Callithrix jacchus: one gene and its partner. The protein of the gene in region 1 interacts with the protein of each later gene in a pairwise test. Links are inferred from orthologs where the notes say so. Each region holds a gene or a part of one and is shown in the gene's direction. Other genes may lie near its edges.

Evidence for each region.
Region 2: the proteins of SMURF1 (region 1) and WFS1 interact in binary tests that used the Homo sapiens proteins (3 or more experiments, as listed by UniProt). The link is inferred for Callithrix jacchus from reciprocal best matches to the Homo sapiens genes SMURF1 and WFS1.

Annotation. Positions count from the first base shown.
Region 1 is NC_133503.1:14,452,500-14,456,871, forward strand, and holds the start of SMURF1 (E3 ubiquitin-protein ligase SMURF1), read left to right. Parts: upstream 1-1,510; 5' UTR 1,511-1,823; coding exon 1,824-1,878; intron 1,879-3,729; exon of another isoform or gene 3,730-3,827; coding exon of another isoform or gene 3,828-3,840; intron 3,841-4,372. UniProt on the Homo sapiens protein: E3 ubiquitin-protein ligase that acts as a negative regulator of BMP signaling pathway. Mediates ubiquitination and degradation of SMAD1 and SMAD5, 2 receptor-regulated SMADs specific for the BMP pathway.
Region 2 is NC_133504.1:186,512,967-186,516,769, forward strand, and holds part of WFS1 (wolframin), read left to right. Parts: intron 1-2,917; coding exon 2,918-3,066; intron 3,067-3,803. UniProt on the Homo sapiens protein: Participates in the regulation of cellular Ca(2+) homeostasis, at least partly, by modulating the filling state of the endoplasmic reticulum Ca(2+) store.

The DNA of each region.
Region 1 (4,372 bases):
ACAGAGTTTGCATTGAGCTGAGATAGCATCATTGTACTTCAGCCTGGGTGACAAGAGCGAAACTCTGTCTCAAAAAAACAAAACAAAACAAGAATTTATACTTGAAAATAAGTAGTGGGTGCTGGAAGTGGTAGCTCATTCCTGATACCCCAGCACTTTGGGAGGCTGAAGTGGACAGATCACCTGAGATCAGGAGTTTGAGACCAGCCTGGCCAACACAGCAAAACCCCATCTCTACTAAACAAACAAAAATTAGCCAGATATGGTGACTAACACCTGTAATCCCAGCTACTTGGGAGGCTGAGGCATGAGAATCACTTGAACCGGAGAGGCAGAGGTTGCACTGAGCCAAGATCGTGCCATTGCACTCCAGCCTGGGTGACCAAGTGAGATCCTGTCTCAAAAAAAAAAAGTAAAATAAAAATAAAGTAGTGCATAAAAAACAAGTTTGATAAACCTAGCTTTCTCTCTAATAACATATTTCCTCTCTATAACATGCTAACAAAGATGTTTGCTGGAGAAAGTGCACAATGAGCTTTTATAGGGGGTTTTCTTTTTGGAGACAGTGTCTTGCTCTGTCACCCAGGCTGCAGTGCAGTGGCCTGATCATAGCTCACTAAAGCCTTTAACTCTGGGGCTCTAGTGATTCTCCCACCTCAGCCTCGCAGTACCTGGGACTACAGATGCGCGCCACCATGCCCAGATAATTTTTAAATTTTTTGTAGAGGTGGGGTCTCGCTATGTTGTTCAGGCTAGTCTCAAAATCCTGGGCTCAAGTGATCCGCCCGCCTCGGCCTCCCAAAGTGCTGGGATTACAGGCTACAGCCACCTACCCAGCCATGAGCTTTTGATTCTAACCTGCGACCCTGGGAGAAGGGGAAATTTAGCAGAAGGCAGGGGAACACAAGCCACAGTGCCGCTTTCTTGTTTGGTCAAATTGTGTGCAGATTGGAAAATAACACGCATCTACCTCTCAACTTTATCTCTCTCTCATCTACTTGCCCTTGTCGTCTGTATGTGGCACTTCTGCGATTCTGGCGACTTTGTTATGGGTCAGTTGGAGCACACCCGTTGCACAGAACACATCTAAGCGCTTTGTCTCTTGGAGAGGTCCCTCCCTTGAACTTGCACTATCGAAAGCTCTTAACTAAAAAACTGGTATTGCACGCCTGTGTGCAAAGTGCTTGGTGTGAACACAGCCCACGGTTTCATGCAAATCCCTCTTCAGTCACTCAGGAGCGCGGGCCAAGATCGAGGGCGACGGTGCGCTGGGCCCCGGGGCCAGCTCTGCTCTGTCTTCCCGGGCTCAAGGCAAGACCCTCCCACCCGCCGGCCGGAGGAAGCGAGAAGACCCCAGCCCGCGGGATCCGGGTCCTGCGCGCTCGAGGCTGGCGGGCGACGTAGTGGCGCAACCCACCCCGCCCCGACGTACGCCGCGGAGGCGCGCGCGCACGCAGGCGCGGGGGCGCGCAGGGCCGGGCCGGCACGGCGGCGGGCGCGCGCGCGGCTCGGGGAGGCGGCGGCGGCGGCGGAAGCGGCGAGGGCGGCGGGCGTCCGGCTCTGAGGTGGTGGAGGCGGCGGCGGTTGCTCGGGACTGGGCTCGGCTGGGAGGAGCGAGGGTCAGGGCGCCGCAGCGAGCGCCGATCTCCCGGCTCTACCATCCGCCAGCTGCCCAGACGCCTGGGCCGGGGAGTTTGTGTCCCGGCTCGGACCCCGGCGCCCAGCCCGGAGCCGTAACCTTGAGGCGGCGGCGGCGGGGCCGGGCCGGGCCGGGCCGGGGGGCGGCGGCGCTGGATCCGCGGCTGCCCGATCGTTGGCGGGAGATGTCGAACCCCGGGACGCGCAGGAACGGCTCCAGCATCAAGATCCGTCTGACAGGTACGGCCGGCAGGAGGTCCACCCGCGCTCCGGCGCCCCCTCGCCCGCCCGGGAATTCCCCGCAGGGCGCCCTTGGAAGCGGCCCTCCCCCACGCCGGCCGTAGTCCCAGGACCTCGTCACCCCCTTCGACGTGCGCCCCTCGCTTCTCCCTCCCGGCCCCGCCCCCTCGCCGCTGCCCGGCCCCGCCCCCTGGCCGCTCGCTCCCCCTCGGTCTCCGGTTTCCTCCCGTTCCCCCGCACCTGCCCACTCGCGTCTCCATCCTGGCCCCGCCCCTCTCATTTTCATTCCTGGCCCCGCCCCTCACTTTTCCTTTCTTGGCCCCGCCCCTTGCATCTCCTTCCAGGTCCTATCCCCTCACCTCTCCCCGACTCGGCCCCTAGCCTCTCGCTTCCCTGTCTCTTCCAGGCCCCGCCCCGTTGCCTTTCACCTCCATCCCCAGTGGTCTTCTCGCTTCCTCCCTTTCCCCCCACCCCGGCACCTGACCTCTCACTTCTCCCTGTCCCGCCCACTCGCTTCTCCCAGGCCCCGCCCCCGCGCCTCTCTCTCTCTTTCTCTCTCTCTCTCTCTCTCTCTCTGACCCGCCCCCTCACTTCTCCTTGGCTCCGGCTCCCTCGCTTCTCCCTGGCCCCTGCTCTCTTGCTTCTCTCTGGTCCCGCCTCCTTACTTCTCCCTGGCCCCGCCCCCTCACTTCTTCCTGGTCCCGCCTCCTCACTTCTTTCCTAGCTTCAGTCCTCACTTCTCCCTGGTCCCGCCCCCTCGCTTCTCCTTTTTTTTTCCTCCTCTGCCGTTTTTACCTCCTCTATCCTCCTCGATTCCCATTATCTCCGCCTACCTGCCCCCTCGCTTTTTCCTCCTGGCCTCGCCTGTGTTCCCTTGGTCTCATTCTTCGCTTCTCACCACCTTCCCATCCTCTCTCTTGCTTTCCTGTGTCCCCTCCCACTTGCTTCCTCTCTGGTCCCTCCCACCCACTTCTCCCCCACCTCCATCCTCTCTTGCTACCTCCCCTTCCACTTGCCCACTTGCTTCTCCCCTCCTGCTCTCACCCACACGCTTCTGAACCCCTCAATCTTTCGTTTCTACCTCTCCCCTACCGTCCTTCTTTCTTCCCCTGGCCCCGCCCCTCACTTTAGTCCCCGCCCACATTCCTACCTTGCCCCGCCCCCACGTGCTGTCTGACTGGGCCTCCACCCTTTCTTTCCTTCAGCCTCAAATTTCTCCATCCTATCTAGTAGCTGCTCTCAGCCCTGCTCTCTTCAATCCCCCCTGGTCCAGCCCTTTTCAGTCTCAGTCTGGGCCACTTCCTGTCTCTTAGGCCAGACCGCTAGCTACTCTTGACTCTTCTTAAATTCTTACCTTTTCTGCATTTCACTTCACTATCACCCCCACCCTCAGCACCCCTGAGCCCCAGTGAGACGCTGATCCCTACTCCCACACTCACTGGAGGCTTTGGAAGCTACCCACAGGCAGGCTCCTTCATTCATTTCGTCTTCAATGAAAAGCCTGTGTTTCCTGGGTGGCTCTGTAGTGCCACCTTCAAGAGTGAGCGCGACGCTCTGCCGTGGGCCTGCGACTTGGTGGCGCGGCTGTGTGTAGATGCCAACCTGTCTCCCCAGCGGGCTCCAGAGGTTCTGGACCAGGCTGCATCCTTGTCTTCTCTTGTTGACTCTCCTCGGTACTAGTCTCTTCCCAGTTTCAATTCATCCCTAAAGCAGGATGGCTGTGTTGCAAATGTGACTCTGCTCTAGGACTTTCCAAACTCAAGTATTTCCAGCTCTGGAAGAAAACTAAAAAGTTCATTCTAATCCTCGTCAGGGATTTTCCCCTGGATTTTTCTGTTCAGTGGCCCCGTCGGGTGAGAACTCCAAGTCCGGGTCTGGTCAGGTCCTTTCAAAGAGCATTTTGAATACTTTGTGGCAGATTCACAGCCATAAAGTCATCAGTAAAATTCATGCAAACAACAGGTAATTTTTTTCAAACAAAACTTTACTTTGAAGCCCATAGTTGTTGCACAGCCCAATTTTTGTCTTAAGAGAAGATTTTGTTTTTTTGTATAAAGATGTCAGATAATGATTTGGATTCAAACCCAGACCCTGGTTTTGTAACGTTAATAGGTAGTTCCCTCTGGGATCTTTGCTTCTGGGGAAATATGCTTCTTTACGTCAGGGCTGATAAGTAACACCTCTCACTTTGTAGATACAATGTAGATACATTGTTATTTATGTGATAACATAAAAGTAACATTTTCGAGATTGTAATACTTTGTAAAACTTTTAACTTGGTTCTGATTTACAACTTAGTGGTGATGGTGTACACATGCGATGTAATTGACATCAGATTGGTTTCAGTACCTTGTTAAAAGCGAAAGTAACTGATTTTGTGGGGTTTGTTAGAAATATAATGAACGTTTTATAAGATATAGGTTTTAATTGAAATGTTTATGATATATAGATATATAAATCAATCCTAGTTGCAAAGCCTAAGCCTATCTATCAA
Region 2 (3,803 bases), on another chromosome or scaffold:
GATGGAGGGGTTAGCGGGCGCATAGTAGGCATGTAGTAGATCATGTTGGATGGAGGGGTTAGCGGGCACATAGTAGGCGTGTGGCAGATCATGTTGGATGGAGGGGTTAGCAGGCGCATAGTAGGTGTGTGGCAGATCATGTTGGATGGAGGGGTTAGCGGGCGCATAGTAGGTGTGTGGCAGATCGTGTTGGATGGAGGGGTTAGCGGGCGCATAGTAGGCATGTAGTAGATCATGTTGGATAGAAGTGTTAGCAGGCGCATAGTAGGCATGTAGTAGATCATGTTGGATGGAGGGGTTAGCGGGCGCATAGTAGGTGTGTGGCAGATCATGTTGGATGGAGGGGTTAGCGGGCGCATAGTAGGCATGTAGTAGATCATGTTGGATAGAAGTGTTAGCAGGCGCATAGGTGTGTGGTAGATCATGTTGGATGGAGGGGTTAGCGGGCGCATAGTAGGTGTGTGGCAGATCATGTTGGATGGAGGGGTTAGCGGGCGCATAGTAGGTGTGTGGCAGATCATGTTGGATGGAGGGGTTAGCGGGCGCATAGTAGGCATGTAGTAGATCATGTTGGATAGAAGTGTTAGCAGGCGCATAGGTGTGTGGTAGATCATGTTGGATGGAGGGGTTAGCGGGCGCATAGTAGGTGTGTGGCAGATCATGTTGGATGGAGGGGTTAGCGGGCGCATAGTAGGTGTGTGGCAGATCATGTTGGATGGAGGGGTTAGCGGGCGCATAGTAGGCATGTAGTAGATCATGTTGGATAGAAGTGTTAGCAGGCGCATAGGTGTGTGGTAGATCATGTTGGATGGAGGGGTTAGCGGGCGCATAGTAGGTGTGTGGCAGATCATGTTGGATGGAGGGGTTAGCGGGCGCATAGTAGGTGTGTGGCAGATCATGTTGGATGGAGGGGTTAGCGGGCGCATAGTAGGTGTGTGGCAGATCATGTTGGATGGAGGGGTTAGCGGGCGCATAGTAGGTGTGTGGCAGATCATGTTGGATGGAGGGGTTAGCGGGCGCATAGTAGGTGTGTGGCAGATCATGTTGGATGGAGGGGTTAGTGGGCGCATAGTAGGCATGTAGTAGATCATGTTGGATGGAGGGGTTAGCAGGCGCATAGTAGGCATGTAGTAGATCATGTTGGATGGAGGGGTTAGCAGGCGCATAGTAGGCATGTAGTAGATCATGTTGGATGGAGGGGTTAGCGGGCGCATAGTAGGTGTGTGGCAGATCATGTTGGATGGAGGGGTTAGCGGGCGCATAGTAGGCATGTAGTAGATCATGTTGGATGGAGGGGTTAGCAGGCGCATAGTAGGCATGTAGTAGATCATGTTGGATGGAGGGGTTAGCGGGCGCATAGTAGGTGTGTGGCAGATCATGTTGGATGGAGGGGTTAGCGGGCGCATAGTAGGTGTGTGGTAGATCATGTTGGATGGAGGGGTTAGCGGGCGCATAGTAGGCATGTAGTAGATCATGTTGGATGGAGGGGTTAGCGGGCGCATAGTAGGTGTGTGGCAGATCATGTTGGATGGAGGGGTTAGCGGGCGCATAGTGGGTGTGTGGCAGATCATGTTGGATGGAGGGGTTAGCGGGCGCATAGTAGGTGTGTGGTAGATCATGTTGGATGGAGGGGTTAGCAGGCGCATAGTGGGTGTGTGGCAGATCATGTTGATTGGAGGGGGTAGCAGGTGCATTAGTAGGTGTGTGGCAGGTGGATAGTAGGTGTGTGGCAGATCACATTGGATAGAAGTGTTAGCAGGCGCATAGTAGGTGTGTGGCAGATCGTGTTGGATGGAGGGGTTAGCGGGCGCATAGTAGGCATGTAGTAGATCATGTTGGATGGAGGGGTTAGCAGGCGCATAGTAGGCATGTAGTAGATCATGTTGGATGGAGGGGTTAGCGGGCGCATAGTAGGTGTGTGGCAGATCATGTTGGATGGAGGGGTTAGCGGGCGCATAGTGGGTGTGTGGCAGATCATGTTGGATGGAGGGGTTAGCGGGCGCATAGTAGGTGTGTGGTAGATCATGTTGGATGGAGGGGTTAGCAGGCGCATAGTGGGTGTGTGGCAGATCATGTTGATTGGAGGGGGTAGCAGGTGCATTAGTAGGTGTGTGGCAGGTGGATAGTAGGTGTGTGGCAGATCACATTGGATAGAAGTGTTAGCAGGCGCATAGTAGGTGTGTGGCAGATCGTGTTGGATGGAGGGGTTAGCAGGCGCATAGTAGGTGTGTGGTAGATCATGTTGGATGGAGAGGTAGCAGGTGCATAGTAGGCATGTGGCAGATTGCATTGGATGGAGGGGGTAGCAGGCGCATAGTAGGCGTGTGGCAGATTGCGTTGGATGGAGGGGTTAGCAGACGCATAGTAGGCATGTGGTAGATCATGTTGGATGGACGGGTTAGCAGGGGCACAGTAGGCGTGGTGGTAGATCATGTGGTAGATCATGTTGAATGGAGGGGTTGGTGGGCGCAGAGTAGTCCCTGTGCAGATCATGTTAGATGGAGTGGTTGGCAGGGTGTCACCTATGCTATAAGAAGCCCCACGCCAGCTGGAGGCAGAGGAGGGTGAGAGCATGCACTGGAGATGCAGGTTGTAAGGCTTAGCAGGTGGGCTGGGCTGAAAGGTGTGGGTGAGTGGCCCCAGGCATGAGGAGCTAAGCAGAAACGGACACTTGGGGAGGGGACAGCACACCCAGGGGCTGGAAATGGAGGCTGGCTCTTAGCAGACCTGCCCCGTCCTCCTCACCCAGCCTGGTCCTCACCCCTCAGGCCACCCAGGGAAAGATTTCCTCCACCTGAACCCGTTCAGCTCCTTTCTTAGTTTGTTCCAACTCCGCTGTCCCCGGCCCATCCTCTGTGTGAGGGTGGCAGTGGGGCTGCAGTGGGGGGCCCCCATGCTGTTTTCTCTCATGCTTCAGCCAAGAACTACATCGCGTTGGATGACTTTGTGGAGATCACTAAGAAGTACGCCAAGGGCGTCATCCCCAGCAGCCTGTTCCTTCAGGACGACGAAGATGATGACGAGCTGGCGGGGAAGAGCCCTGAGGACTTGCCGCTGCGCCTGAAGGTGAGTGACCGACCCTGGCCAGGCAGAGCCTGCCTCCCAGGGACTCATGCACCTTAGGCGGGGCACCTTCTGGGAAGCTGCAGGTGGGGAGGTCCTCGCCTAACAGAATGTCCTACAACCGTGCTGCTGGTACCTCGGGGCATCAGCTGTCCTCATAAGGATGTGTCCTTGGGAGGGAGGCCTTTTTTTTCTGAGCTGTCATGCTTGGAAACCAGGGGTAGTGTTGGGTGGGAGTGCTGGGATGGCAAGCACTGGTCTTTCTTTGCACAGCACAATGTGGAGGACAGTGGGTCGGGGCTGGAGGCCAACTCTCATCTAGACTTTGTCACTTAACAGAATTCCCTATGTGTGGTCTAGAGTGGAGGTTAGTGTCTTGAAGATGCCTTCCCCCAAGACAAAGAGCTCATGTCCATCAGGCCAGGGAGGCTGTGCAGAGGTGCCCACTGCCCCCAGATCTGCAAGGGCTCAGGGAACGAGGCCCGGTGTGGGAGCGTGGTGGGTGGCACTTGTGCAGGGTGACAGTGGGCACACCTGGAGGATGTGAACAGGCGAAAGCAGGGATCAGGAAGCCCAGCGATGCAGGCTCCTCCTGGCCTGACAGCTTTTCTTAGTTTTCTTGGCCATGTGGCCCTATGGCCTCTCACAGAATTGCCCCTGGTTCAGCTTGCATAGTTGAATTAGACACTTACGTATCTCACTCTGCAGAGAACAGCAGGATTTCCAGAGGCTTGGCCTCC